7 linked regions of the Callithrix jacchus genome follow. The protein of the gene in region 5 interacts with the protein of the main gene of each other region in a biochemical or structural test. Links are inferred from orthologs where the notes say so. Each region holds a gene or a part of one and is shown on either strand. Other genes may lie near its edges.

Region 1 (4,268 bases), about 72 Mb from region 5:
CTCAGCCTGAGCTGATGCTCGACTGGGGCTGAAGGATCCACTTCTAAGGTGGCTTAGTCACATCGCTGTTGTCTGGTTAGTTTAGACCTTTGCAAAGAGGCCTTGGTGCCTTACTATGTGTTTCCTCCCCATAGATGTTGAGTGTCCTCACAACATGGCGGCTAATTTTACCGAGTGACTGATCCAGGAGAAAGTAAAGTGCAAGCCACAATGTCTTTTATGATCTAGCCTCAGAAATCCCATTGTCATTTTTGTGACATTTTATTGGTCACACAGGTCATCCCTATGCATCAGAAGAGACTCTACAAGAGTGTTAATAACAGGAAGCAAAGATCATTGGGGCCATCTTAGAGGTTGGCTGCTGTACACCACCATTCTTTTCCCCTTTTGTTGAGAGGAGTAAAAGAGAGAGAGAATGCTGGAAAAATAGCAAAGGATAAAAGGATGTAGAACGTAAAACAAGTCACCTCCCTCTGGTTTCCTACAAGCTGTAATTCTGCATAGGAAAGCTAAGGAGCATGGAGGCAGGGGCGTAGATAATATTAAGCCAACTAGGCTTCTGCTGTTTTTAAGCAATAATGACACCTTTCCCACTAACATTCAAATTCTGAACCAGGGAGAAGTAGACACAAATGTCAGAATAGTGGAGATCAGAATATCAACCTCATTACTGTTAGTAGTGGATTGAATTTGTGGTCACAGCCCTCCCCTCCATATCTGGACCTTGGGGCTGCCTTCCCAAGGGATAATTTGGGTATGTGGGGTAGATTACCTTCCTCAGAATTGCTGCCTCACCCATGTCAAACCCCAGTGTAAGGGACACAGAGAGAGATTTCCAGACTCACTTTCCTGACCTCTCTGTGCTTACAACACAGAGGTGGAGCAGAGCCTCCTTAGCCTGTGGCCAGGTGGTTCAGTGAGGACTGAACCTCCCTGCTCAGCTACTTCCCTCAGTCTTGCCAATCAAATAAATTCACTCCTGTTTTCTTGGAGAAGAGGGAGGGACAGAAATGATGGCCCTCCCAGGAAATGAAATGAAACTCTCCTTTATGGCCAAGATACAATTACTGGGAGGGAACAAGGATGGCTCGCCTTATAAAGGTCACTCAAATGAACCAGTCTGGGCCATCAGTAGTGGACTGACACACATATCCAAGGCCGGTCTTTGTTAGTACTGAGTCTCTATGAAACAGAAAATAGCAGCATTTTGAGTTGTTTTACCATCATGAACGAATTAATGTTATGTCCTATTCATGTGGAAGGTTCATGCAGACTAACAGTACACCATTTTTTAAAATAACTGCCTTGAATTGCCTTAACTAAAATCTCTTTCTTTTCTAGGCACAGGGTGGTGGTTTCCTATCCTCCTCAGAGTGAGGCAGAACTTGAACTTAAAGAAGGAGATATTGTGTTTGTTCATAAAAAGCGAGAGGATGGCTGGTTCAAAGGCACATTACAACGTAATGGGAAAACTGGCCTCTTCCCAGGAAGCTTTGTGGAAAACATATGAGGAGACTGACACTGAGAAGGCTTAAAATCACTTCACATGACAAAATAGCACAAAGCAACTTAATGGAAAGAGCACATTGGTGGACTTCCAGATGGTCAGGAGATGGGCAAAGGATTGGTGCGTGACTCCCATGCCCCAGCACAGTTCCCCCAGCCAGCAGAGTGAAGAAGGTGTTTGTGTGGGTTTTATCAGTCTGGATTCGGAGGTGTAAGGTGTGCCTTGTACTGTCTGATTTACTACACAGAGAAACCTTTTTTTTTTTTTTTTTTTAAGATATGTAACTAAAATGGACAATTGTTTACAAGGCTTAACTAATTTATTTGCTTTTTTAAACTTGAACTTTTCTTATAATAGATACATTCTTTGGATTATGATTTTAAGAAATTATTAATTTATGAAATGATAGCTAAGGAGAAGCTGGATTATCTCCTGTTGAGAGCAAGAGATTCATTTTGACATAGAGTGAATGCATCTTCCCCTCCCCTCCTCCCTGCTACCATTATATTTTGGGGTTATGTTTTGCTTCTTTAAGCTAGAAATGCCCGTTCTCTAATTTGGTTTTCTTCTTTGGGAAACCAGACATACAAATGAGTATCAGTTAGGGCCTGGGGTAGAGAGAAACTTGAGAGAAGAGAAGTTAGTGATTCCCTGTCTTTCTAGTTTGGTTAGAATCACCCTGAAGATCTAGTCCTCAATTTAATTGTATGGATTTTTAATTTTCCTAGAACGAAATCACTGAAATGATGAGAAAGAACATAGCACAGCCCTTGAACAAAATGTATTCAGAAATATGTTTAGTTTTATAGCAGAAGCAACTCAATTGTTTGGTTGGAAAGTAGGGGAAATTGAAGTTGAATTCACTGTCTGAGAATGGCTATGAAGCGTCATTTCCCATTTTACCCCAACCGATCTGCATGCCCAGGCCACAAGTGAAACATTTGTGAGATAGTAGTGGTAAGTGTTAGGTCAAAGGCTGTAAGAAACACTGTGAAAAGTTCATAATCATCCGTTGTGATTCTTTCCTCATGTCTTGCATGTGTTACTGGATTCCCACAGTGATATAGACTGTGCATGGTGTGTATATTTCATTGCGATTTCCTGTTAAGGTGAGTTTGTACTCAGAATCGACCAATTCAGGGGGTGTAAAAATCAACAGTGTTCTCTTCTCTACCCCAAAGCCACTGCTGACCCAGGTCTCTTCAGTGCGCTCACTCCCTCTCTGGCTAAGGCATCCATTAGCCACTACCCAAGTCATTAGTGAAAATGCTCTTTTATGTCCTCCCAGCAGACAGACATCAAGGATGAGTTAACCAGGAGACTGCTCTGTGACTGTGGAGCTCTGGAAGGCTTGGTGAGAGCGAATGTGCCCACACCTTACAATTGTGGCGGGACCCAGCTGAGCCTGTCTTTTTATATCCATTCTTTGATGTCATTGGCCTCTCCCACCGATTTCATTATGGTGCCACGCAGTCATGGATCTGGGTAGTCTGGAAAACAAAAGGAGGGAAGACAGCCTGGTAGTGAGTAAGATTCTTACCACAGTTTTCTCATGGGAAATGGATAATAAACCCTTTCATCTTTTTTTCTTTTAAGAATTAAAACTGGGAAATTAAAACATGAACTGAAAAGTCTTCTTGCAATGGCAAGAGGTTTCATGGTCTTAAAGATACATTATATGGTTGAAAATGAAATCATTCCTAAATTAACCTTTTTTAAAAAAATAAAACACTGTATATTATGTTCCTGTGTGTTGAATTTTTAAAAAATACTTTACTTGGATATTCATGTAATATATAAGGGTTTGGTGAAATGAACTTTAGTTAGGAAAAAAGCTGGCATCAGCTTTCATCTGTGTAAGTTGACACCAATGTGTCATAATATTCTTTATTTTGGGAAATTAGTGTATTTTATAAAAATTTTAAAAAGAAAAAGACTACTACAGGTTAAGATAATTTTTTTTACCTGTCTTTTCTCCATATTTTGAGCTATGTGAGTGAAGTACCTCTGTTCATAATTTCCTGGTATAAAGTTGGTTAAAATTTCATCTGTTCATAGATCATTAGGTAATATAATGTATGGGTTTTCTATTGGTTTTTTGGAGAGAGTAGAGGGAGATTTTTTAACAGGGGCTTGTTACACAGTGATATGGTAATGATAAAATTGCAATTTATCATTCCTTTTCATGTGAATAATTTGAGGACTGGATAAACGGTTTCAAGATTAAAATTTGATGTTCAACCTTTGTGTGTCCCTTGTGTCAATCCTTAAAATTTTCCTTTTTTAAATTAAAAAACACACACACACAAATTTGACCTAATTTGTACCTCACAAAAATTCTTTGCATACACCTCAAACAGAAGATGTCTGCCAGAATGTGATGATGTACATTTTACCTCTGCAACTTACAAACCTTGTTTATTTCTCCAAGAAGCTTAAAAAGAGTTTGTGGAGTCGCACAAGGTCGTGTATGGCACTTGTGTTCCCTCTTCCTCTTCTGGTTACTAAAGTCATCTGGTTAGTGCTAGAAGTTTTCTTAGCCGTAGAAGGAGCAGACCTATAACCAACCATGTGATAACCTGTAAGTCTCAGCATGGCTTGTGGAGAAAATCTTTAGATTCACCACGATTTTCATCTTCCATGAAATGAAAGGGCCATGTAAGTCATATTAAAAACTATTTTTCTATTAACTTTTGGCTACTGTCAAATTGCTTATCATCAGAATTGAAAATCAGGAATTCTAGGTTGTATTGTAGCTTTG
Region 2 (4,313 bases), about 35 Mb from region 5:
TGTACGGTCTGTTAAAAGCTCACCACTCTATTCCAAATACATAAATAATACCAGGCATTTAATAATGATAGATAACCCTGTGCTACACACTGTTTTAAGTGCTTTAGATGTACTAATTCAGGTAACCCTTACAATAACAACCTTGTCCAAACAGTGGGCAGGCACTATTGCTATCTCCAATGAACAGATGGCAAAAAAGAGGCTGAGAGAGGTTCACTTAAAATTTGCCCAAAATCACAGAGCAGGCAAATGGCACTGCCAGGATCTGAATCCAGGCAGTCTAGCTCTTGACTACCACACATGCTGCCTACTGCCTCTGATAGTAGACATTAAAAAAAGCACTTTAAAAAAACCTGTTAAATGGGCCAGGTGCGGTGGCTCACGCCTGTAATCCCAGCACTTTGGGAGGCCGAAGCGGGTGACTACCTAAGGTCAGGAGTTTGAGACCAACCTGGCCAACATGGTAAAACCCTGTCTCTACTAAAAACACAAAAAATTAGCCAGAAGTGCTGGCAGGTGCCTGTAATCCCAGCTACTCTGGAGGCTGAGGCGGGAGAATTACTTGAACCTAGGAGGTGGAAGTTGCAGTGAGCCAGGATCACACCACTGCATACCTGTCTGGGCAAAAAGAACAAGACTCCGCCTCAGAAAACAAAAAAAAAAAAGCAAAAAAACCCCAAAAAACTGTTAAATGAATATATTTTAAAAGAAAAAAATAATCTAAATATAACAAACCTGACAAAGTATACTTATTATAGTAACATTTACAGCAGTGCTGGTCTCAATTATTTCACAGCATGGCCTTCAAAAGGTTATCAGTAGGAAACACAGGGAAGCAGAGATAATTCCCAGGTATGGCCAACCAGTCTGGGGCATTTGGAGCTGAAGCACTGTGAGAGCTGAGATCAATATACTGGCAGAAGTGCAGGCCATTCCTAGTTCTGAGAAGCTCTTATTGTCAATTAAAGGATTCTAAATGAAATTCAGATTTGGAATCCAACTTTCTAGTCCTAGCATTAATAAATAAGCCAAGAATTTGTAAACAAAGGTAATTAAAACGTTATCATTTAACTCACCAAACACTGACACGTATCAAATGATATCAGCTTTTAGCTAATTAAACGAATAGCTAGTACAAAAATTGATTGCAATTACCAAGGCAAATCAGAAGATAGCTGTGTTCTAAAAGATCAGCTATCTAATAAAAAACACACACATACACGCATACACATTTTGGGCATTGTAACAAAATATAAAAATAAACAAAATTGGTTTCTTTTTTTTTGAGACAGGATATCTGTCACTCCGACTAGTGGAACGATCTCGGCTCACTGCAGCCTCGACCTCTCCAGACTCAAGCGATATGCCCATCTTAGCCTCCGAGTAGCTGGGACTACAGGCACGCACCAACACATCCAGATAATTTTTTTATATTTTGTGGAGATGAGGTTTCGCCATGCTGCCCAGGCTAGTCTAGAACTCCTGAGCTCAAGCGATCCGGCCGCTTCAGCTTCCCAATGCGCTGGGATTGCAGGCGTCAGTAACTGAGCCCGGCCAACAAAATTTGTTATTATCTACTTTCCTATCATCTTACCCTACTACACTTTCACTTGCTGTTTTCCTTGCTTGGGGAAGGGGGGCAATAGGCCTGTGAGTAAATCTGAATAAAAACGAGAAGAGCTACATTGTAATTAGCTCTGCCACTTAATGGCATGACTGGCACTTTTCAGAAAGTTGTGCCTCACTGGAATATTTCAAGAATATGTAAAAATAACATGATCTATAAGACAATCAAAACGTTTCAAATAAGACGCGGGTTATATTACATAATATACCACAAGTCTGGCAGTGTTGGCAATGGCAGACAATACCATGAAACTGAAAGCATCCCTGCAGTCTGAAACTGGCGAAAAAGCTACAGGTTTACAAAGTCTCACATCAGCTGAAAATAATACATCCATCATTTCTATCTTGGCATGGTGTATTCTGACAGTGGTGGACAGGATATCATTACTTGCTTTATTAATTATGAGATGACTTACAGAGGAATTACTAACCAAGAATCTGGTAAAGGCCTGGCACATTTTCCCCTAATTTTACAGGGGCGGGAAAGACCCAAAGAATTTCAAAACCAAGTGGGAAATAAGAATGGGTAACTTGTATATTTTTTTCCTGGCCTCTTTTTTTCTTCCGTAGTCAACAGAGGCCTCGGGGTGTCCAGATTGCTACTGATTCGTTCTTACTAAGTTCCTTCTGGTAATAGTTTTCAAAAGAGGATCTCAGTGGAGGTACACAGAGGCGCTCCCAGCTTTCTTTTTACGGAAAGGAGGAAAGGTGCTTGGCACCAGTCGGGGAAGCTCACGCCAAGTGACCGGGACCAGAACTCGCTCTCAGCAGGAGCCCCGCAAGTCTGGTGAATGGGAGGAAGAAGGATCCTGAATCCCAGCCAGAACTGAGAAAGCGCACCTGTGAGGTGCGGGAAGGGGACTTTCTCCTCTGGAAAGCCGGGAACAGCGGAGGCCCTAGCTCACGTCGCCACACCCACTCCGCGCGCGCCCCTCACCTCCCCAAGCCGGCTCTGCTCGGCCTCGCGGCCTCTCGGGCGCCCCCGGCCCGCCGGAGAGAAAGAAGCAGAAACCCTGAGCTTGGGTCCCACCTGCGAACCCTCACCTTCGCCCGCCTCGTCCTCTCACCTGCCAGTCCCCCAGGAAGAGCAGGTCGCCTCTTCCCTAGGAGAGGCGGCCACCGTCTCGGATCTTTCCATAGTCGCCTGAGACTCCGCCGCCGGCTACCAGGAGGTAGGAAAGGGGGCGGGACCGCGGGGGTCAAGGGGCGGGCAGAGACGTCATCAGAGAGGGCGGGCCTGGGGAAGCAAGGATCCCGGCAGCACTTTCCCGTCAACCCTTGGGGCGTCCTGATTTCCGGTTTGGGTGTGGCCGCATGATGTGCTGTGGTGGAGGTGGCCGAAGTGGGCGTTACTGTTGGGACTGGCATCCGGCAGATGAAGATGGAACCGAAGTCCAGAAGTTAGTCGTCACCCTTGCTCTGCAGCCAAACAAGCAAGGCTTTAGTAACTCGCGAAATGATGGGATTGCGTTGCAAATCCTTAAAAGAGTCTTACAGTAAGAAGAGGAAACAGCTTCATTTGATAAATAAACTGAAGGCTAGTAATAGCTCCAGATTGTCAGTGAGGGACACCACTTCAAGATATTATGTATTTAATAGATGATTTGAGGGACGGGCGCGGTGGCGCACGCCTGTAATCCCAACACTTTGGGAGGGAGGCCGAATCACCTGAGGTCGGGAGTTCGAGACCATCCTGACCAGCATGGAGAAACCCTGTCTCTACTAAAAAAAAAAGTACAAAATTAGTTGGGCGTGGTGCATGCCTACAATCACAGCTACTCGGTAGGCTGAGGCAGGAGAATCGCTTGAACCTGGGAGGCAGAGGTTGCAGTGAGCCAAGATCACATCATTGCACTCCAACCTGGGCAAAAAGACCAAAACGCCATCTCAAAAAAAAAAGTAATAATAATTTTGGGAGTCCACTACGTTTGAGGCACTGCCTCAGATTTAATAGAATCATGTGATTTTTAGTGCCATAAATGACATTAGGTCATTCCAGTTTGGTCCCTTCAATTTGTTGGTAAGAGAAAGGAACTTCCGGTCAGTGCAAGTGTCTTGGTCAAGGTCATAGAGCTAATCACTGTTAGATTACCAGAACATATCTAAGGAGTTCTCATATAATTCTTTCCATTTACTTCCGTGTCACCTTTCTTAGAAAGCAACAATTAGTTGGACACAATAACATTAGGATTTGTCTTTCACTTTAAATAACAGTATATATTTGAATAAACATCTGCAGGATTTTTAAAGGTAGCCTATACTTTGACTTTGGGTATTATATAATTTTCTGTGATGTATCATATTTTTAATTAGAAATTTTTCCTCTCTTATGTGGAGATGAGGGTCCAGGCAAAACTGTATTATCCTTTGTGCTCCTCTATTCTCTTCAAAATTGCACATCTTAAAATACCTGGAAGCTTAATGTTACTCACCTGTAGCATTGTCCATGTTCTCAATCCGGCTGTGAACCTTTCCCACATTAAAATGTACTTGATCTATGCTCTATTCTTTCAAGGTTCTGCTCCAGCACTAAGTTTATTCCCTGTCTTTTCTCTTTATTTTAAAATTAATACATATAAATATCTTTCGCTATCCCACCCTACAGATATTGTCAGTTTCTTTGTTTCTCTCCCTCTGATTTCCCTTCTGTATTTATTTTTTTCCTAAATATTTGTTGAATGCCTATT
Region 3 (4,092 bases), on a different chromosome or scaffold from region 5:
GGAGAATCTCTTGAACCCCGGAGGCTGAGGTTGCAGTGAGCCGAGATCGCGTCACTGCACTCCAGCTTCGGTGACAGAGACTTCAAGAAACAAAACAAAAAAATTAGTGGAGCGTCGTGGCGCACACTTGTGATCCCAGAGGCTCAGGTGGGAGGATCACTTGAGCCCGGGAAGCCGAGACTTCAGTGAGCCATAATCGCACCAAGGCACTCCAGTCTGGGCGACAGAGGGAGGCCCTGTCTGAAAAAAAAATCCTAGCAGTACAGTTACAAGGTCAAAGGATAAGGTACACATTTAAAAAAAACTTTTCCTCCTGAGATAACGACATAGAATAGTGTATGAACAACTCTTCATACATTACTCTCCAAGGTTTATCTTGTTTTTTTTTTTTTTTTTGAGACGGAGTTTCGCTCTGTTCACCCAGGCTGTAGTGCAATGGCGCGATCTCGGCTCACCGCAACCTCCGCCTCCTGGGTTCAGGCAATTCTCCTGCTTCAGCCTCCTGAGTAGCTGGGATTACAGGCACGCGCCACCGTGCCCAGCTAATTTTTTGTATTTTTAGTAGAGACGGGGTTTCACCATGTTGACCAGGATATGGTCTCGATCTCTTGACCTCGTGATCCACCCGCCTCGGCCTCCCAAAGTGCTGGGATTACAGGCTTGAGCGGTTTATCTTGTTAATCCTTTAAGACGTCAATATCATCTCCCTATCCTTGGCTGCACCTGAAAAGAGCCAGAGTCGGCAGGTAACCCGATCTCCTCCACCAGGTGAGTCCCGGATGGAGGCGTCAACTACAAGATCAGGAGCAGAGCACACCTGGGGCTTTGCTGGAACCCTTGGCGTGGGAATGCAGTCTCTTCCCTTGCCCGGAAGACTCCAAGTTCCCGGCGGGCAGCGGACTCGGTTCTAAATTTGCTCGCCCCAGCCTCTCCGAGCGCCCCGCGCACAGTCGGCCGTGCTTGGACAAAAGCTCTCCCGAAAAGGACCGGACACCAAGTCCCTCCAGGTGCCACAGACCTGCCGCCCCCGCGTCACTTTGCTCCCTGCCCGCTCCCTCCCCGCGTTCCGCGTGGGACCCTCGGCAGCAGCACACGACCTCCCAGACGGCTGGGGTCTGAGCCGAGCTCGCCCCGCCCTCCCCGCGCCCCGGGCACCCTGCGCGCGCCCGCCGGTCCCGCCCCGGCCCTGCTCCGCCCCGCCAGCCCCGCCTCTCGTCTCCTCCCCGCCCCCCGGAGCCGACGAGTGGCGGCGGCGGCCTCAGGTCCCGGGTCCCTCAGACAAGAGGGCGGGTGGAGGAGGAAGCGGCCGAGCCCAAAGTCCTGCTCCGGCGCCGCGGAGCACCGCCCGCCTTAGCCGACCAGCCCCGTCGTCTACTGGGCCTCGCCTAGACAAGAGGAGTGAAAGGCCGCGGCGGCCGTGCGGAGGCGGCGGGGGTGCAGGCAGAGGCGGCGCGGGCTGCCGCGGCTGCCGCTTTGTTGTGCGGCCCGGGCCGAGGAAGAAGTGGGAGGAGGGGGGAGCTCGGCGTCCCGCTCCCTCCGCGGCTCATGGCGACGACGCTCGGCACATCCGGGACCCTCCGGCCGCGGCGGCCGCGGCGCCGGCTGCTCGGGCCCCAGCCCCGGCCGCTGTTGTGACTCCGCCGCGTCTCGCCGTCGCCCCGTCCCTGGTCCCTGTCCCGCCCGCCGCCCCTTCGCCCCCGCCGCCGGGGACATGTCTAACCCCGGAGGCCGGAGGAACGGGCCCGTCAAGCTGCGCCTGACAGGTGAGGGGGGGGCGGCGGGCCGGGTCGGGCAGCGGCGGGGTGGGCGAGCTGGCGGGGGGTGCCTGTGGCCTTGGGAAGGGCCAGGGTCGCGATCAATGGTGAGTTGGGGGTCGGAGGAGTGGGAAGGCCTAGTTCAGGGAGAGTAATAGGAAAACCACTTGCTCCGGTTTGGACATTCTGTAAAAAGCCGAGGATGACTCGGGGTGGCGGGGGGGTGGTCTTTTGTGGAAGGGGGATACACCGGTTCGCGTCGCAGGAGGATTTTAGGTCGAAAGGTCTTGGTCGAGGAGCGGGACGCTGCTTCCCGGGGCTCGTGGGCTGCCGCCCAGGTGGGCTCTTGAAGGGGATGAAGAGCTCCGGTGGCGAGGATTATTGAATCCGGTTGCTGACTGCGCGTAGTAAACACTCCGTAAAGACGGAACGCTTAACGGGAGGGTGTGCGTGTGTGTTCCCGGGTTAACTTGCACACCCACTTATGCCCGCGTGCAAAACCTTTACTCCCCGCCGCCGGCCACCGCTGCTGGGGCCACACACCTTCAACTCACTTCTCTCTGAGGAGAGGAGACTGAGGTTGACTTTTCCGGTGTGCCAGTCTGATCCGATGGCTCGGGCTCATTGTACATTGTGTTTTGGAAGTGTCTGGATTGTAGGTGGCATGTTTGGGGTTGTTCCTTGTAGGCCGCAGAACTTGTGTCCCACTTTTAACTCCAGACCTGCTTTAAAAACACGGTTTTTTGGGGGGCGGGGGAGAGGATACATTTCTAAGTGTGTGCTCATACAAACTTTAGAGCGAACTTGTTCTTACTCTCCACACCCTCCCCCTTTTTTTCTAAATGGAAAGGAATGTCCGGAGGGGTACTACACTTACAAAGTGTTTATAATTTCAGGTGCATGAAATCTTTAACATTACAGGTACGTTTTGCTTACAGTACCATTTTTGGTATTCTTACATGGACATGCCACCCCCATTTTAGGAAAACTTGTATTTGGTTTGAAAAGTAATTGAGATCATGGCGTTATCCTTCCTTCACCATTTACTCCTGATAAATTGTTTACGTTTATATTCAGATGAGTGGCGAGAAAGATAATTTTCCGTAGAGGATTTGTGTGTGCGTGCACGTGTACGAATAAACTGTAATTATGTTTGCCCACACTAGACTTTGAGATTTATTTGAACTAATTTTGTAGTTGAATGCTTCTATGTGTCATCCCAGTCCGCAGGCTGGACTTGCTAGATGAAAACTTGCAGTGAATTTGGTATTTGAGAATTTAGCTTGAATGTATGTTGGCTGTAATTTAAATAATATTTTACCTTCAAGACAGTTTTGCTTTCCCTGGAGAAAATTGGCAGGGAATCATTAACCAAGTGGTTCTTAATGGAAAACCTGGATTGGAAGATACTTGGATTCCCCCTACCCGCCCGCATTCAATGTCCTTATATTGGTAGGAGTCAGTGGAAACCTTTAGGGGGATCTTTGTTGCTTTAGAGTTTTATCTCTTGCTGTTGCTATCTGGCGTCAATGATCGTGGAAAGAACATGTGATCCCAGGTATGCAGAAAACGTCAGAAATAGGCTGTTGCCATTTACTTCTCTCTAGGCTATGTAGAGAAAACTAGGGGAAAAAAATAGGGATTTTGATTTTCTGCAGATAGATGAGTTGAGGTTTTTAATATGACTCAATAGATCTTAAAGTGTTTATCTGTGGTTTCCCCACTGCCTAAGATACATTATAAAAATTTATAAGTGAAGTTTGCTAAGAGGAAAGATTATGCTTATATTTCAGGGGAAGAAGGAATAAATAGTGAAGTACATTTAGAGAGTGATTTTGTTTCAGGTTTTTCTGAGGAATTTTAAATTCGCTGTGTCCTCTTAATAGTAAAAGCAGTTTGAGGTGCTCTGAGTTTCTTACAACTATTTGTCTCTGAATAGTTTTCTCTTAAAATTTGACAAATATTAAAAACATTGTCCTTCCTTCTTTGGTTACAGTGGAGTCTCTTCTGTTTTGCTAGGAAAGTTAACTTTTTTTTTCATTTTTGTTCAGCATTTACAAATTAGATGGTATAGATTTTAGCAAATAGATCTCAAGAGCTGGATTCAATTAGCAGCTTTTTAGGACATAAACATTAAAGGGTTAGATGGAAAAGATTGTTTTGACTGACTGGATAAATGACAGGACTGTGTTTGATGTGCGTCCAGGAATTGGTCTGGAGCTGGTGCCCAACTTCTCAATCCATCTTGAGAAGCCAAATAAAATATTTAACCTAGGCCTCATTTTGTTTAAAAAAAAAAAAGAAGGTTGATTCTTTGTTAAGACCTTAAGAAATGTTT
Region 4 (3,527 bases), on a different chromosome or scaffold from region 5:
TCTTTACTAAAAATAAATTAGCCGGGTATGGTGGCACACACCTGTAGTCTCCGCCACCCGGGTTCAAGCAATTCTGAGGCAGGAGAACCACTTGAACCCGGGTAGTGGAGGTTATAGTGAGCCAAGATCACATCACTGTACTCTAGCCGGGGTGACAGAGTGAGACTCCGTCTCAAAAAACTAAACAAACAAACAAACAAACAAACACCTACTTGGGAGGCTGCGGTGGGAGAATCACTTAATCCTGGGAGGTGAAGATGGCAGTGAGCTGAGATCGTGCCACTGCACTCCAGCCTGGGTGAGAGAGCAAGACTGTCTCTAAATAAATAAACAAACCTTATTAGTAATACTGAATAATGTATACTAACAGGTCAGCAGTAGTATCAGTGTAATTAGACTTGCATCTTACGATTCGATATTTCCCCCTAGTTCATTCAGTCTTTTTCTGTTTTCTACAGGACATCGACAGTAGTGATATCAAAAGCTCAACATGGCAAGACACAGAAATAGAAGATATGCCAACACTTTCTCCACAGATATGCCTTGGAATTGGAGAAAAAGGTGCAGATTCTTCAGTGGAGTCCCCCATGCCATGGTTATGTGCCTGTGGTGCTGAATTGTACCACGAAAGAAAAGTCAAAGCAGGACCAAACAATCATGATACAACGTGTGTCTTAACTCCCGAAGGACCTGAAACCAGAGATTGTGACTCTAAAGAAACTGCAGTTGTGCCTATTGGCAGAACAGAGAGTGGGTGCACCACATCAGGGATTACACAGGCAAACAGAAACAACACAGGTGAGACAGAAAATGAGGAGTCTTGCCTACTGATCAGTAAGGATATTTCCAAAAGAAAAAACCAAGAATCTTCCTTTGAAGCAGTCAAGGATGCATGCTTTTCTGCAAAAAGAAGGAAGATGTTCCCCAGCTCTTCCTCAGATCAAGAGGAAACAGAAACAAACTTTACCCAAAAACTGATAGATTTGGAGCATCTACTGTTAGAGAGACATAAACAAGAAGAACAGGACAGGTTATTGGCATTACAACTTCAGAAGGAAGTGGACAAAGAACAAACGAAGCCAAACCGGCAAAAAGGATCCCCAGATGAGTATCACTTACGTGCTACATCCTTACCTCCAGACAAAGTGCGAAATGGACAGAGGAAGAATTCCAAAGATAGGAACTTCAAAAGGCAAACTGATACAGAACACCCAAAACCTGAGAGAGGCTCAAGGGATGAAAATAGGCAGCTGTCTGTTAGGATGCAGCTGAGGCATTCAGTTAATGGAAGAAAGACGCCAAATTCTACTAGAGATCCTTGTAATGTATCCAGAAGTGCTCATTCCCTGCAGCCAAACATTTCACAGAAAAGCATTTATCAGATGTTTCACAGATGTACAAAGTAATGCATGCCTTTAAAGGGAGTGCTTTGTAATCTAGTAAAGCTGGATTGTGAAGCTCTTTTCTATTGTAGAATCTTTATACATGTGTCATTCATGCTGCTCTCTAGGCACACTCATTGTCCTTAATGAAAGGTCTGTGTGGTTGTAAGGACAATACCTTATGCCTTGGCCAACTCGAAGAAGTCTTCAAGTGCCATTCTTTTTCCAAAAAAATGCATGTTTTTTGGTCTTTGCTCACCTTTTTGTCATGACTGGTAATCAAATCACGATTATACTATTCTAAGTAATTAAGGAACCCATGCAGGGTTTAAAACCCACATTTTCTTGGCTATTGTCCCATGTTTACAGAATACTCAAATGTATTTTCCTGAAGTAATCTGATTTCCATCTCCAATTTAATTAAATTTTCAGCATTGTAGTGATTCCTTTGGTGATTTTTTGTTTTTAAACCAAGTTTTGCTCTGTTGTCCAGGCTGCAGTGCAGTGGTGAAATCTCAGCTCACTGCAACCTCCGCCTCCCAGGTTCAAGCGATTCTCCTGCCTCAGCCTCCCGAGTAGCTGGGATCACAGGTGTGCGCCACCAGCTAAAATTTTTTGGTATTTCTAGTAGAGATGGGATTCTCTTGCACTCCTGACCTGGGGGGATCCACCTGCTTTGGCCTCCAAATGCTGGGATTACAGGCATGAGCCACCATGCCTGGCCACTTTCCTTTCGTTTAAAATGGATTCGAATCAGTGTTAAATCAGAAAATCAGGGTTTTCTTTTTTTTTGAGATGGAGTTTCGCTCTTGTAACCCAGGCTGGAGTGCAATGGCGCCATCTCGGCTCACCGCAACCTCCGCCTCCTGGGTTCAGGCAATTCTCCTGCCTCAACCTCCTGAGTAGCTGGGATTATAGGCACGCGCCACCATGCCCAGCTAATTTTTTGTGTTTTTAGTCGAGACGGGGTTTCACCATGTTGACCAGGATGGTCCCGATCTGTTGACCTTGTGATCCACCCGCCTCGACCTCCCAAAGTGCTGGGATTACAGGCTTGAGCCATGAAAATCGGGGTTTTCTAGGAAATTGAGAATTTGTTGCCAGAAAGGAAACTAGACTATGCAAAAGGAGTTAAGAGCTGGGATGAAGCTGGTTGGGGTGACTGACGGTTTGGGATCATTGCAACTGAAAGGGTGGTTAGAAACTGGTCCTGGGCGAAGCAGCAGGTGCAGTTTGGCAGTTTGCTCCCTTGTCCTTCCTTTGTGAAATGACACAGGAGACATTTGGGTTTTGTAGCTTTTCACACTATACTATCAGGTGTCAAAATAAAAATTAGTTACTAAATTGTGTGAATTTTTGGAAACCTGTATTTCTGTTCATCTGCTATTGGAGAAAAAAATGAGAATATAGGAGAGTTATATCACAGTATCTTATGTTATGGAACCTGAAACATTATCATGTATTTTCTTATATTATTTTTTTGTTTTGATGCTGCTCTTATTTGAGTTTATGAACAGAGATAGAAAATAGGATGCTTGGGGTTTGCCCTTTCTTACTCCTGAAAGTTAAATCAGAAGACACTGATTTCATTTTGTGAAATTTAGCTCAGAGACGGTTGATCTTTTGGTTTCATTAATTAGTAACGAACAGGTAGCTTTAACAGCGTTTCTACTGATACCTAGTCACCTATTCTTTTAGTGGGAAAATAGAATAAAACGTCTAGAGCTAATTTAGCTTAAATTTGCCAGTATTTTTGTATGTCATTAAGACTTTTTCCTCCAAGTTTTGTAATAGAAATTTTGTTAATCTTTGCATACTTGATGGCATCTATGTCAATTTTGATTGGTTAATTATAAATTCTGTGCTCATTTAAAACTTAATTTGCCTCTTAAGGTGATTGCTCTCTGAGTAATGATTGTAGGCAAATGAAGTATAGTTTGCAACTGTACTGTCACGTTGGTAAGTAAAAATAAACTAACCAAATGTGTCTAAAACAGACCAAGATCAGTTTTCTCACCAAATCAGTATTTCTCTAAGAGCAGTTTCACTTCATGTTTTATAGTGGACATTCTTGGAACTCCTCAAATTAAAACTTATTTAATCTGTCTGGAATAGTCTGTGACCAAAAAAGAATGGAAAAACAAT
Region 5 (3,527 bases):
TATATATAACCTTTCTAATGGAGAAGAATGAGTGTTAGTAATAACCCAGTTCATGTAAATTTTAAAACATTTCTTCGGATTGATTCTTTGCATATCCTGAGGCAGTTAGGCATTCCACATTTTAACTTTAAATTCCTGTCTAGATCAGTATCTTTTGTCATTAAGTGGTCTTCAAAAGACTCTTGTTTGAATCTTGGTTCTGTCATTTACTATTTGTATACTAGACTAAGTTACTTCTTAAAGCCTCATTTATATCATGCGTAAAATAGGGGCAATGTATCTATTTTCTGGTATTGATTAAAATGAGAAACTTAAGCTTTTCCCTGTTCTCTTGAACATAGTTGTGTGTTCCTTACCTGGAATAGCTAACATTTTGGTTGGCCAGTGGGCAGAATGGCCTGTTGTAAACCCATTTGTACACATCTGGCTGTTGGAAGAAATAATCTACACATGTAAAAGTTTATTTTCAGATTATTCTGATACATGATTCTGTATGTAGGCTTTATTGCTATGTGTACTTTTTCCTTTGTGAGAATTGAGATCTAAAATACTTGTGTTTCTGGATAACTTTTTAAAAAACATTCTGGTGACTTACGTAAAATTGAATCTAAATTACGATTTATTACTCTATGGTAAGTTTTTGGTGTTTTTTTTTTTTTCCTGTTAATATAGACTTAATTTTCATGGGATAATTTAGATTCTTTATTACAGTGTAAATAGGTAATTTTGGTTCATTACTAGAGGAACACTTAGAAACAAATGTTATGGATTATTTAGCAATAATATTTTAAATTTGGGTTAAGCATACTTTTCTTTTTACAGAATGACAGCCCATATCAAGGCGGTGTATTCTTTTTGACAATTCATTTTCCTACAGACTACCCCTTCAAACCACCTAAGGCAAGTATTTCTCCTCAAAAATCTGTTAGTATAGATTTATGCTTTATTTCAAAGGAATAGAGCATTCTTGGAAGTTACGGTTCTGCCTAGGCTAAATATATATGTTGAATTGAGGCACTGATGTACAGATGCTGACTCTAAACCTTTGGTTTAAAGAGCTAGACCTCAATTTGAACTTTGTAAATGGTAATAAAGTGTGCCTTTTCCTTAATGTTGCAAGATTCAGACCACATGGAAGCTTACCCCCATTATTACATAGATTCTGATTATAGGCTTTGTTGTCTTGTAGGCATCAAATGTCCAACTTCAGTTTATATTTGCACATATTGCTACAACTTATGCTTACAGTTTTATATACATAACTAAATTTATGAAAACGAGTTGCCTAGTGCAGTGAGTTGATTGGTTTGTAGATACTAAAAGCATATTATCCTTTACTTTTAAGTCATTAACATAAATTCAACCTACATAAGTAACTAGAGAAGGTAGTATTCAAAGGACATAAACATGTCACTATTAACAGTCCGTAGTAATGTTACAGGTGCAATGTGATGGTTTCCATTTTTGTGATTCAGGTGTGTTTTATGTACAGTGGAATTGCAAACTCATGCATACCTGTGTAACTTGAAACTTTAAATGAGATGGTCTACAAATTTTGGTTGCATTCAAAATTAGGGCTTTTTTAAACGAATGTGTTAAATACCTTTAAATTGCTCTTTGATATTCATGATACAGTAGGACCAAAGTAACCTTGAGAACTTTCCTTCATATGAGTAATGAAATTTTTATCCAAAAGTTTAAGTTTCTGTTTTAATAAGAGGGAGCTGGGGGCAAGGGGAGTTGTGGTCAGATTGTGAAAACCAGTTTCTATATATTTGGAACTTGTTTGCTAATAGATAACATTTTTAACATTGTGGCTTGATTATTTTAAGTTTTGCTTTAAAAGATGTTTGTTTTTATTTGAATAAAATACCTAAAAGTTTTTGTTTTAGGTTGCATTTACAACAAGAATTTATCATCCAAATATTAACAGTAATGGCAGCATTTGTCTCGATATTCTAAGATCACAGTGGTCGCCTGCTTTAACAATTTCTAAAGGTAAAAATACATCCAGTGAAATAATCTTAAGCTGTTCTCATTTTCTAATAGTTTCATTCTGAGATGTACTTATCTGAGTGTTTTTATTCCAACTTTCTGGTAAGAGATGGGGAAGCAATAAAGTTACTTTTATCATTTGTGTTCTTTTAGTGGTATTGATTAAAGAGACTTTGTGAGAAGAGGTTAAAATTCAAATTGGGGTAGGTAGGCATTATTTGCCTAGTGAGTTACCTTCATCTCATAACAGCAAAATTTATCTTAATAGACTTCTGTATTTTTAATCTCAAACTGCTTGGACATGTCACACTCATTGCCTTTTTACCAAGAATGGTGTAATACACCTAAACTTAATAAAGATTTTGAATCCTGAAGTTTCCACTCTAGAAAAATTCTGATTTTGCTTTCCTGGGTTAATTTTTAGACAAATCTTTAGTCATGTGTTATGTAACCATTTTAGGTTGTTTCTACCTAATGACAGTCTAAAACTATAATCTTGGAAATATCTGTAGATCAATTCTGGTCTCCTACTGTTAATAGGCATCTGTTATGTTGTATCTAATAGGTTGTCCAGTCTCTTCATGAATATCCCAGGTGGAGTTTTTAGACCTTTTTTTCTCCCTCTTGGATGCTTTCTAATTTTTTTTCAGAACATGCTCCCATACCTAAATACCAGCTTCCAAGTTTTTCTGCCACTGCTGGTAATGTACTATAACAATGAAAACTGTTTTTGTAAGGGCAGATTGAATTGATACTGTTTTGTCATTAAAGTAACTTGCTTTTTTGGCAGCCATACTTTGCTAACTTACTAAACTAGGAGTCAACACTGAAGGTACCTTTTTTCTTTGAGTTACTATATAGCCCAGTCTCCTCCATTAGGTAATTTTTTATTTGCTCTGCTGCATTTGACTTTGAAATTAAATTTGCTATAGTCAGCAAATATTTATGTGACGATGTTGTCTTTATACTATTACTTTTTTTTTAATTCGTCAGAAACATTTCAAGCATTTACATCTTAACAGCGCCATGTCTGGTGACTGGCACATAACAGGCACTCAGATTGAATGAGATCTATGTTCCTTAATGTTTGACATCTTATAAATCAGTGTGTTGAACTAGTTAAGGGAAGAACTAGGGCTGATGACTCACTTGGTACTAAAGAGATTTTGGCATTATATTTAACCAGTACTCTTGAGAATATCGTTTCTTACAAGTTCGAGGAGATAAAACATTTAGTGGAGCACCTCAAAGTTTTTCTCAGAAAACTCCTGAGACAATGGCAAAGAATGGATTTTTCTTCATGCCCAACAACTATGAATAATATGGCATGAGTGTTGACCTGCATATTCTTGCTAAAGTTCTCTCCCCACCCCCAGAGTACCAAGAAACTCCTTAAGTTCTAATATCATTTATGCCTATTTAAAACATAGATTAATATGGCATCAGTTGCCTATCTTAGAAACTTTATTTTTATAGCTAGTCAGCAGTGAATTTGATGTCACAAACTCCATTTTTAGCTCTTCTTACTTACC
Region 6 (4,110 bases), on a different chromosome or scaffold from region 5:
GTTTGAAAATACAAATTGCTCAGAAAAACTCTGGGATTTCTCAATAGAATCTAAAGCCTAAGAAAATTGTCACTAGACCTCAGTTAAAAGAAAGATTAGAGGCCAGGCGCAGTGGCTCACTCCTGTAATCCCAGCACTTTGGGAGGCAGAGGCGGGTGAGTCAGGAGTTCGAGACTAGCCTGGCCAATACGGCGAAACCCCATCTCTACTAAAATACAAACATTATCTGGGTGTGGTGGCGCGCGCCGATAGTCCCAGCTATTCGGGCGGCTGAGGCAGGAGAATCGCTTGAACCTGGGAGGCGGAGGTTGCAGTGAGCCGAGATCGCGCCACTGCACTCCAGCCTGAGAGACAGAGCGCGACTCCGTTTGAAAAAAAAAAAAGGATTAGAAATGAATATTATGTTAATAACTAGGCATTGTGCCCCACGCTGGCTAACCATCCCCCGGGCCGCCCTGCTGCTGGGCGGTTTACTAAGCACAGCTACATGCATTCGTTCACTAAATCCTCACGCCAACCTGCGTTTCTGGGATGAGAAAACCAAAGTTCCTTAAGGTGAAATACGTTGCTAAAAGGTGCAAGGGGGAAAGGTGTGGATTCTTGCTGAGTCATTATCATTCTACCACAGCCTTCCTCAGCAGTTTCCTCATCTTCCTGAGGGGAAGTAGCTAGTCCTAGGGGTTTAGACTGGAAAGTGCTAGAGTGAGTGGGACAAACGTGGGTTTTTAGGTTCAACAGACCCGGCCTCTAATAACTCCCAGCTGTGGGACCCTGAATAAGTTCGTGACCCCCAGTGGGGCTGGGTTTCTGCAATGATAAAGTGGGGAAAACCATCGCCTGCTCATAGACTGATGAGAGAGGCAATGAGACATGAAAGCCACCTTTCAAAGTTTTATTATGAAATGAGTTCGGCGATGTTAAGGGACTCGATCAAGGTCACCAAGCCGAGTCTTGACCCAGGTAACCTTGGACCTGGACCCTTGGGCGCCTCTAGCAGAGTTGTGTGATCAAAGTAACCAGCAGTCCACAACCTGACTTCGGGGAAACGACGCCTCCTATAGGTCCCAAGGCTCCGGCCGCCCCGGCCCCCACCTCCGGGAGCCTCAGCTCCGCCAGGGGGCGCGCGCGCGGAGGCCGCACTCGAGGCCGCCGCGCGCCTCGCTCTTCTCTATGGTGACTCGGGCGCGGCGGGAGCGGAGGCGCGCTCCCGAGAGTGGGCGGGGCCAAGCCAGGGGCGGGGCCGTGCGAGGGGCGGGAGCGGCCGGGCCAGGCCGGCTGAGAATGGGTGGGGGGGGGCCGACTTCCTGGGGCCGCCCGTGAGGATGTCGCGACCGCCCCCGGGTGCCCCTCAGCCCCAGAGACGCCGCCGCGGCGGAGTCCGCAGCCTCCCTGCCTGAGGCATCCGTAGCCGGTATCCAGCCCCTCCCCTCGCCTCCCCTCCCAGGTGCTGGCCCGGCCGGCGGCCGCAGCAGGTGAGGAGGCGGCGGCGGCAGCGCTGGGGGCCGTGGGGCGCCCGGCCTGGGGAATGACGGGAAGGGGGGCGCTCGGGTGCCGCCAGGCTGTGGTCTGGGGGCTCCTTCTCTGTGTGGGGCGCGGCCTGGGACTCTCCCTGCCCTACAGGGGTGAGGGGAAAGCCCCTTCCTTGCTGGAAGTCTCCGCCTTGAGGGCAGCCCACACCTGTCCTTTGAAAAGTCCTCTCAAAGAAAGCGTTTCACCTGTGGGGTCAGTAACGGGAGACGTGCGTCCTCCACTATCCCCAAGCGCCCTACAGACCGGCAGGTCTAGTTGGCCTGTGGGGAAAAGATAGAAGCCTCTTTGTACGGCAGAGGAAACTGAGGCAGGTCTGCGGCGGCCTGCTCACCCCTTTAAAGGAACCAGCCGGTCCCTACCTCCCTCTTAGACGGAGGCGGCTGGAGGAGGGAGGTTTGGAGTTTGGAGGTTGGATGGAGAAGTTTGGGAATGCGGCTCTACCCCCAGGGTCCACTGTTCCCTCGCTTGGGAGTTGTCCTCTGTTCGCGATGTGTGTGAGATCGCTACTGTGCGATCAAGACCGAGAGGGAAATGGGGCCTCTCTTCAGCCGGCTGCCCAGGAGACATTCGACCAGACATGGGGAAGTCTGGCGAGACCAGGGAGCCAGAGCCTCCGCTGGCATGTCTGCTCATGAATTCAGGCTGGCAGAAGAGACAAACAACAGCGTATTTTCTCCTTTTTGTTGGTCTGTCATTTGTTCTTGGGGGGAAAAAAACTGCTTGTGTAATCAAGAGTGCACCGTTGCACTCCCTAGTCTACCATAAGGAAAGATTATTGTTAGCTTGGAAATAGGGTTTTACCCACAACTGTCACTTTGCTCCCTGGTTAAAGGCCAGAGTGACGTGATGAGCTAACATCCCAGGGTGCCTGTGGCCTTCTAAGAAAGCAGTAAGTTCCTTATGCATCCCTTTGATTATTGGTTTGGAGGCAGAGAGACTTCCTGTTACCACTGTCACTGCAACTGTTAGGGGTGCCTAATCATTCTCCCAGTGACAGTTCAATTTACTCAAATGTGGGCTGGGCTGCCCATTTATTATACCATTCTTCTAGGAATGAGAGTAGGCAGGGGACAGGGCACTGGGCTGAATTTGTGTAGAGTTCTAGGGCTGCAGCCTAGCCGTGACAGTTCTTTCTGTTCAGGGGATTTCAGGTTTGACAGCTTCTCTATCCTTTTCCCTGATTGCATTCTCTTTCACATTCAAGGAAATAGATGATGGCAAGGGTTTCTGAACTTTTATTGTACATTTACTGATTCTGAATTTTAGAGTACAATTCATAAGTTACAGTTTGTTTAGAGGTATTCTTAAGTTTGAAAATTCTTGGGTATTGTGCATAACAATTGCAGATGGATGTGGCAGGGCTAACTAATATCTTGCTGGTGATTGAAGAAAATGTTCATGTAATCTAGGACACACTTATTATAATATCCATCTAATTACAAAGACCGGCCCATTAAAAACTTTTATATTGGTGAGGTAGACAGTTGTGATATCTTGTTTACATTGGGATCAAGGGTTGTAAATACTCTAAATCGACCAGTTTAACCAACTGCCAAAATAACATGCACAAAAAGAGAAAGCTCTTCTCAGAAACCATAAAAATTGGTTTATTTCATGCCTTCTCTCACGACCAAGCCAGTTGACATAACTCTGCTTAGTACCATCTAATAGGAACACCTTTTTTTTTTTTTTCCTTTGGAAACAGTCTCACTGTCACCCAGGCTGGAGACAGGGTTTTGCCGTGTTGCCCAATCTGGTCTCAAACTCCTTCAGCTCAAGCCATCTGCTGGCCTCCACCTCCCAAAGTGCTAGGATTATGGGTGTGAGCCACTGTACCCAGTGGCATAATCATGGCGACCTCCTAGGCTTAGGTGACTCTCCCTTCTCAGCCTCCGGAGTAGCTGGGAATTCAGGCAGGCACGACCACGCCCAGCTAGTTTTTCTATTTTTTGCAGAGGTGAGGTTTTGCCATGTTGTTGGTCATGAACTGGGCTCAAGCGATCCTCCTGCCTTGGCTTCCCAAAGTGGTGGGATTATAATTGTAAGCTACCTCCTGGGCTGGAACACTTCTTAAGGGTAGTGGAAAAGGCATTTTCAGTGACCAGCATTTAAGAAGACAAAACAAACAGCAACAATAACAAAAAGGGGCACAATTTCTTTTCTAATTACATGAGCATTGTGATTTAAATATAGTCACACCCATCTCTATGAGTGTCATGCCTAAGACTTTCTAAAAACATCTCCGTAAACCTAAGAACTCGTTAGGGGGACTAATTCCACCTTGAATTTTTATTCTTGACATAGAACTTTTAATACTGCCATTGTTTTAATGATGGAGACTTTTATACCAAACTTGTACTAGCCATAGTGTTTATGTTTTTGAAGGAAAGATTTAACCTCTATACCTTAGAATCTCATAACTTGTTAATACAGGAACAGCGTTAAGGTGTTAGAGTTTATGAGAACACATAGTTTAAATTGTTACTGGTGAAGTCTCAAGCAAGGAGCTGCTTCATTATTATTGTTGTTTCTTTTTTTCTTCTATTTTTTTTTATTGAGGTCCTCACTCATTTTTTTCTT
Region 7 (4,053 bases), on a different chromosome or scaffold from region 5:
ATGAGAATGACACTTTACCTCTGTGGTCTTCCTCCTCCAAATCCATAACCCCAGTCTCATCACAAGAAAAACATCAGACAAATCCCAACTGAGGGACATTATACAAATATCTCTCTAGTACCCCTCAAATTGTCGAGGTCATCAAAACAAGGAAAGACTGACAATCTATCACAGCCAAGAGGAGTCTAAGGAGACACACAGACTAAATGTCACAGTGGTTTCCAGGTGTGCTTGCTGTTCCTGGGATAGAATGCCAAGGTGGGGTGGGGCCACCAACAGATACCTATGCACAGCTTAGGGAAGCATTTCCATGAGTGCAGCTTTGACTCCCACCTACCTTCCTGGCCCCCTCCCCTCCCCTTCCCTCCGTTCCTCCTCCTCTCCTCTCTCCTCCCCTTTCCTTCGTTCCCGCCCCTCTACCCTCTCCTCCCTTTCCCTCTGTTCCCGCCTCTCCCCTCCCTTCACCTTCCCTCCGTTCCTGGCCTCTTCCCCTCCCCTCCGCTCCCCTCCCAGACGTTCCGGGTCCCCTTGTCTCCCTCCCCTCCTCTCCCCTCCCCCCTCTTTTTTGAGACGGGGTCTCCCCAGGTTGGCCTGGTTGGTCTGGAACTCCTGAGCTCAAGCGATCCGCCCCTCTCAGCCTCCCAAAGTGCTGGGATTACAGCACTTCCATGACTTTTTAATAAATTAATTTATACACTTGTGCAACTGTCACCACAATCCACTTTTAGAACATTTCTATTACTGCTTTCCTTCCATTTCTCCAACCCCATCTGCATTAATCCCCGCTCCCACACCTCGCCCCAAGTAACTGTGCTTTCTGTCTTTGTAGATTTGCCTAGTGTAATTTATTTTTTGCTTCGGCAATATGAGGAGGTCGTGCAAAATAGAAGCTATTTAGGAACAGGCTAAGCGGACTTAAAACTGATGGAAAGTTTAAAGTTGTTTAAAAGTGGGCTATAGTTTTACATGATTTTTTTAAAAAAGAGGAAAGGTGAGGAGAGGTTCCAGTCTGGGGCGGCTAGGACTAGGTGATGGTTTGGGAGCTGGCAAAAGAAGGTGTCACGTGACGAGGAGAGCCCTCGAGCCGCGCCCGCCCCGCAGGAGTCGAGATCCGCTACCAGCCAACCCTCTCCGCCCCGGGGCGGCTGCCTTCCTCTCGCGCAGGTGCAGTGCTCCTGCTTCCGGGTCGACGGCGGGCAGGCGGAGCTTGTATTCGCATCGATGTGAGCGCGTGGCGATTGCTTCTGTCTGTTGTTTAGCTATGGAAGCTGCCTGGTTGCTGCGAGGCTGCAGGAACCCGGGTCGGGGTCTAGTTCCGTGCTGACCGCCCCCGGGGTCGAGTAGACGATGGGGGAGCCTGGCTTCTTGGTCACGGGAAACCGCGCCGGTGGTCGGAGCTGGTGCCTGCGGCGGGTGGGGATGAGCGCCGGGTGGCTGCTACTGGAAGATGGGTGTGAGGTACAAGGGAAGGCGTCCTGTGGGGCGGAGGGCAGGGGCTGGAGGGAGCGGGGCTCCGGAGAAGGAGGAAGGCGTCTAGGTGGGCGGAATGAATGGCAGAGAGGAGGCAGGCACACAGAAGACGAACGAGGGGATGGGGGGGGTGGATCCTGGGGAGAGAAGGGAGGGAGCGGTTCTGGCTCGAGCGGCTGAAGGGTCTAAGGTGGGAGGTATTTGGGGAGAAATAGGGACCGAGTGGGAGAAAGGAAGAGAAGAGAGTTCGGCTCTGGAGGGCCACAAGGATTGGGGTGAGGACGAGGCCTGGCCCGCGGGCGGTGGGGCGAGAAGAGGGCCCAGCCCAGAGAGGCCTGGGTCTGCGGGGAGTGGGGTCGGGGCCGGGAAGGAGAGGGACGCGCAGAGGATGTGAGGAGAAGCGGTGTTATAGCGGAGTGGAGGGCGGGGCCTGGCCAGATCCCATTTAGGGCGCCCGGAGCCCAGCGGTGCCGGGCCTGGGAACAGTGGATTGGAGCCGCGAGCCGCTGGGCAGCCGAGGCGGGGCCTGGAAGGGCTGCCCGGAGCTTGAACTTTCTCGAGTTTGCTTTGAAAACGAATGCGAGTTTTGGGTTTTGTCCCTTAAAGTGATCAAACTCTCAAGTAGAAATGTCTTCCTCCTTCCCACCTCTGAGGAACAGGGGCGCCTTAGGCTGGGCCGCATTTCTCCCGCGAAGCTCGGTACGTCCGAGTGGCACCCCTAAAGGAGGGATCGGGCAGGGATTCCGAGTTCTCTCCAGAGGATGCCTGTCGCCTTTGTTAATATAATTCCAAATGAAAATTTTTTAAAGGGGAAAGATGAGGCACGTTCCTGGCACGGTTCAAGATGCACTTTGAAGATGATGCATCCTCAAAGGGCGAGGGAAGGGAGGATGGAGTTAGATTGCAATCAGGTTGAGAGGAAAACTGAGTCAGGGACAAGCTGGTGATGACGGGGAACCATTTGGGTTTTGGAAATCTGTATGAAAGGTTCCCTTTGCAGTAAAAGTGGATAGTTGGTCGTGATGTTGTAAACTCAAAAAGTCTTTTGAGCCTTACGTATGTTCAGGTAGATTTTGCCTGTAAGTCATACTCCTCAATTCAGTCTGCCAGGTGTTGACAGAGTACATAACATTGGTGTACAATGAGAACACATAAAATTTGTGAGCTCAAAGAGTTTCAGGCTTAAGTGGGGAGAGAGGATTTATACAATGAAGCAGTCTAAGAACTGTATATGGGCTGTATGATCAAGTGCCAAGATATGGATTATTTAGTTCCATCCCAGAGCAGTAGTTCTTCAAGTCAGGGGAGGGATTCATGTTCAGGCTCAACTTTAGTTGCTAGATTAGAGAGGGTTATAAAGGGTTACTTGTATGTCGTGATTTCGGGAACATGAAGAAAACACCTCTGCCCCCAAATACCTCTTCTATCCAGGTGTTAGTGCCCAAAAGTCCACATTAGGCATTCATTCCTTTAGCTTGAGCACTGACCTTTCCCTGCCTGGCCCTTTCCAACAGTATATGTTTCTGAGAAGTTTAACAAATTAAAACACCAACACCTGAGTAATAACCTGAACAGTACACACAAAATAAATTATTTTTATGTATAACTGTTACTTAATACATTATTGAATGTGATCCCTGCATACACACAACCTTGTAAGTTAACTTAGTGGGCAGGTGTTACTCCTTTAGATTCCGTTGTTGTGGATTAATTTATGACTTCTGAATAGCTTGGTAGGACTGCAGCCTTGGGCAAGTGGGATGGGGAGGAAGGATTAAAGCACCTGCAGGAAGGGCAAGAAGACTATAAAGCACTCTTAGACATATTCTACACATTTTGATCGTTTTGTGTCAGGGCCACTTCTATGGGGAGAGACCCATACAAACTGAGTGAATGATGACACAGTGTTAAGACTGGCTGGCTTCAGGGACCTGTGTGGAGGAGAGGCCTGCAAGGTCAGGTCATGGCATAGCCTGAAAAGAAATCTGAGTCAAAGGCAAGAGAAGTTGTAGTTATTGTAATGGTCCCCAAATCATAGGACAAGCTGTTTTGCACAAGATTTTAGGAGGTATACTAATAACATTGTAACAGCAAAGTAGGTCAGTTCCCTGCCTTTCCTGTTCTTAGTCTCAGATGTTGCAGATAAAATAATAAAACAGAGTTCCCTTCATTTCATTGATGGGAATACTGTAGTAAATCGGTTGTCTAAATAAGTGGCTTTAAGCTTGTTAAAGCAATGCATGGAGTTTGGTGGAAAAACAATTAGAGATTTATTGCAAATTAGCTAGTTCTCAGGTACTATAAAGAATCTTTGCCTTTGAGGAAACCAACAGAACCTTTCTCCCCTTTTATTCTCTTGTATTTAGTTTTCATGAAGTTTTCTGCCCCAAGGGAAAGGATGGTTATATTTACTGGTTTGGGGCTTTTTGTTTTGTGGTGCTTTTTTTTTTTTTTTTTTTGACAGAATATTCCATCACCCAGGCTGGAGTGCAGTGGTGTGATCACACCTCCACCTCCTGGGTTCAAGGATTCTTCTGCCTCAGTCTTCCAAGTAGCTGGAAGTAGCTGGAATAGTAGGAATTA

The links.
Region 1: the proteins of UBE2D3 (region 5) and SH3RF1 form a complex in vitro, tested with the Homo sapiens proteins (2 studies listed by BioGRID). The link is inferred for Callithrix jacchus from reciprocal best matches to the Homo sapiens genes UBE2D3 and SH3RF1.
Region 2: the proteins of UBE2D3 (region 5) and UBA6 form a complex in vitro, tested with the Homo sapiens proteins (2 studies listed by BioGRID, with this or other methods). The link is inferred for Callithrix jacchus from reciprocal best matches to the Homo sapiens genes UBE2D3 and UBA6.
Region 3: the proteins of UBE2D3 (region 5) and SMURF2 form a complex in vitro, tested with the Homo sapiens proteins (12 studies listed by BioGRID). The link is inferred for Callithrix jacchus from reciprocal best matches to the Homo sapiens genes UBE2D3 and SMURF2.
Region 4: the proteins of UBE2D3 (region 5) and RNF168 form a complex in vitro, tested with the Homo sapiens proteins (5 studies listed by BioGRID). The link is inferred for Callithrix jacchus from reciprocal best matches to the Homo sapiens genes UBE2D3 and RNF168.
Region 6: the proteins of UBE2D3 (region 5) and RFFL form a complex in vitro, tested with the Homo sapiens proteins (5 studies listed by BioGRID). The link is inferred for Callithrix jacchus from reciprocal best matches to the Homo sapiens genes UBE2D3 and RFFL.
Region 7: the proteins of UBE2D3 (region 5) and RNF8 form a complex in vitro, tested with the Homo sapiens proteins (4 studies listed by BioGRID). The link is inferred for Callithrix jacchus from reciprocal best matches to the Homo sapiens genes UBE2D3 and RNF8.

What each region holds. Positions count from the first base shown.
Region 1 is NC_133504.1:22,211,006-22,215,273, forward strand, and holds the end of SH3RF1 (E3 ubiquitin-protein ligase SH3RF1), read left to right. Parts: intron 1-1,341; coding exon 1,342-1,510; 3' UTR 1,511-3,752; downstream 3,753-4,268. UniProt on the Homo sapiens protein: Has E3 ubiquitin-protein ligase activity. In the absence of an external substrate, it can catalyze self-ubiquitination. Stimulates ubiquitination of potassium channel KCNJ1, enhancing it's dynamin-dependent and clathrin-independent endocytosis.
Region 2 is NC_133504.1:129,688,222-129,692,534, reverse strand, and holds the start of UBA6 (ubiquitin-like modifier-activating enzyme 6), read right to left. Parts: upstream 2,821-4,313; 5' UTR 2,765-2,820; coding exon 2,694-2,764; exon of another isoform or gene 2,671-2,693; intron 1-2,670. UniProt on the Homo sapiens protein: Activates ubiquitin by first adenylating its C-terminal glycine residue with ATP, and thereafter linking this residue to the side chain of a cysteine residue in E1, yielding a ubiquitin-E1 thioester and free AMP.
Region 3 is NC_133506.1:89,931,643-89,935,734, reverse strand, and holds the start of SMURF2 (E3 ubiquitin-protein ligase SMURF2), read left to right. Parts: upstream 1-1,276; 5' UTR 1,277-1,711; coding exon 1,712-1,763; intron 1,764-4,092. UniProt on the Homo sapiens protein: E3 ubiquitin-protein ligase which accepts ubiquitin from an E2 ubiquitin-conjugating enzyme in the form of a thioester and then directly transfers the ubiquitin to targeted substrates.
Region 4 is NC_133516.1:25,640,497-25,644,023, forward strand, and holds part of RNF168 (E3 ubiquitin-protein ligase RNF168), read left to right. Parts: intron 1-458; coding exon 459-1,406; 3' UTR 1,407-3,527. UniProt on the Homo sapiens protein: E3 ubiquitin-protein ligase required for accumulation of repair proteins to sites of DNA damage. Acts with UBE2N/UBC13 to amplify the RNF8-dependent histone ubiquitination.
Region 5 is NC_133504.1:94,544,043-94,547,569, forward strand, and holds part of UBE2D3 (ubiquitin-conjugating enzyme E2 D3), read left to right. Parts: intron 1-822; coding exon 823-900; intron 901-1,892; coding exon 1,893-1,998; intron 1,999-3,527. UniProt on the Homo sapiens protein: Accepts ubiquitin from the E1 complex and catalyzes its covalent attachment to other proteins. In vitro catalyzes 'Lys-11'-, as well as 'Lys-48'-linked polyubiquitination.
Region 6 is NC_133506.1:99,078,706-99,082,815, forward strand, and holds the start of RFFL (E3 ubiquitin-protein ligase rififylin), read left to right. Parts: upstream 1-1,298; 5' UTR 1,299-1,472; intron 1,473-4,110.
Region 7 is NC_133505.1:45,694,240-45,698,292, forward strand, and holds the start of RNF8 (E3 ubiquitin-protein ligase RNF8), read left to right. Parts: upstream 1-1,246; 5' UTR 1,247-1,347; coding exon 1,348-1,458; intron 1,459-4,053. UniProt on the Homo sapiens protein: E3 ubiquitin-protein ligase that plays a key role in DNA damage signaling via 2 distinct roles: by mediating the 'Lys-63'-linked ubiquitination of histones H2A and H2AX and promoting the recruitment of DNA repair proteins at double-strand breaks (DSBs) sites, and by catalyzing 'Lys-48'-linked ubiquitination to remove target proteins from DNA damage sites.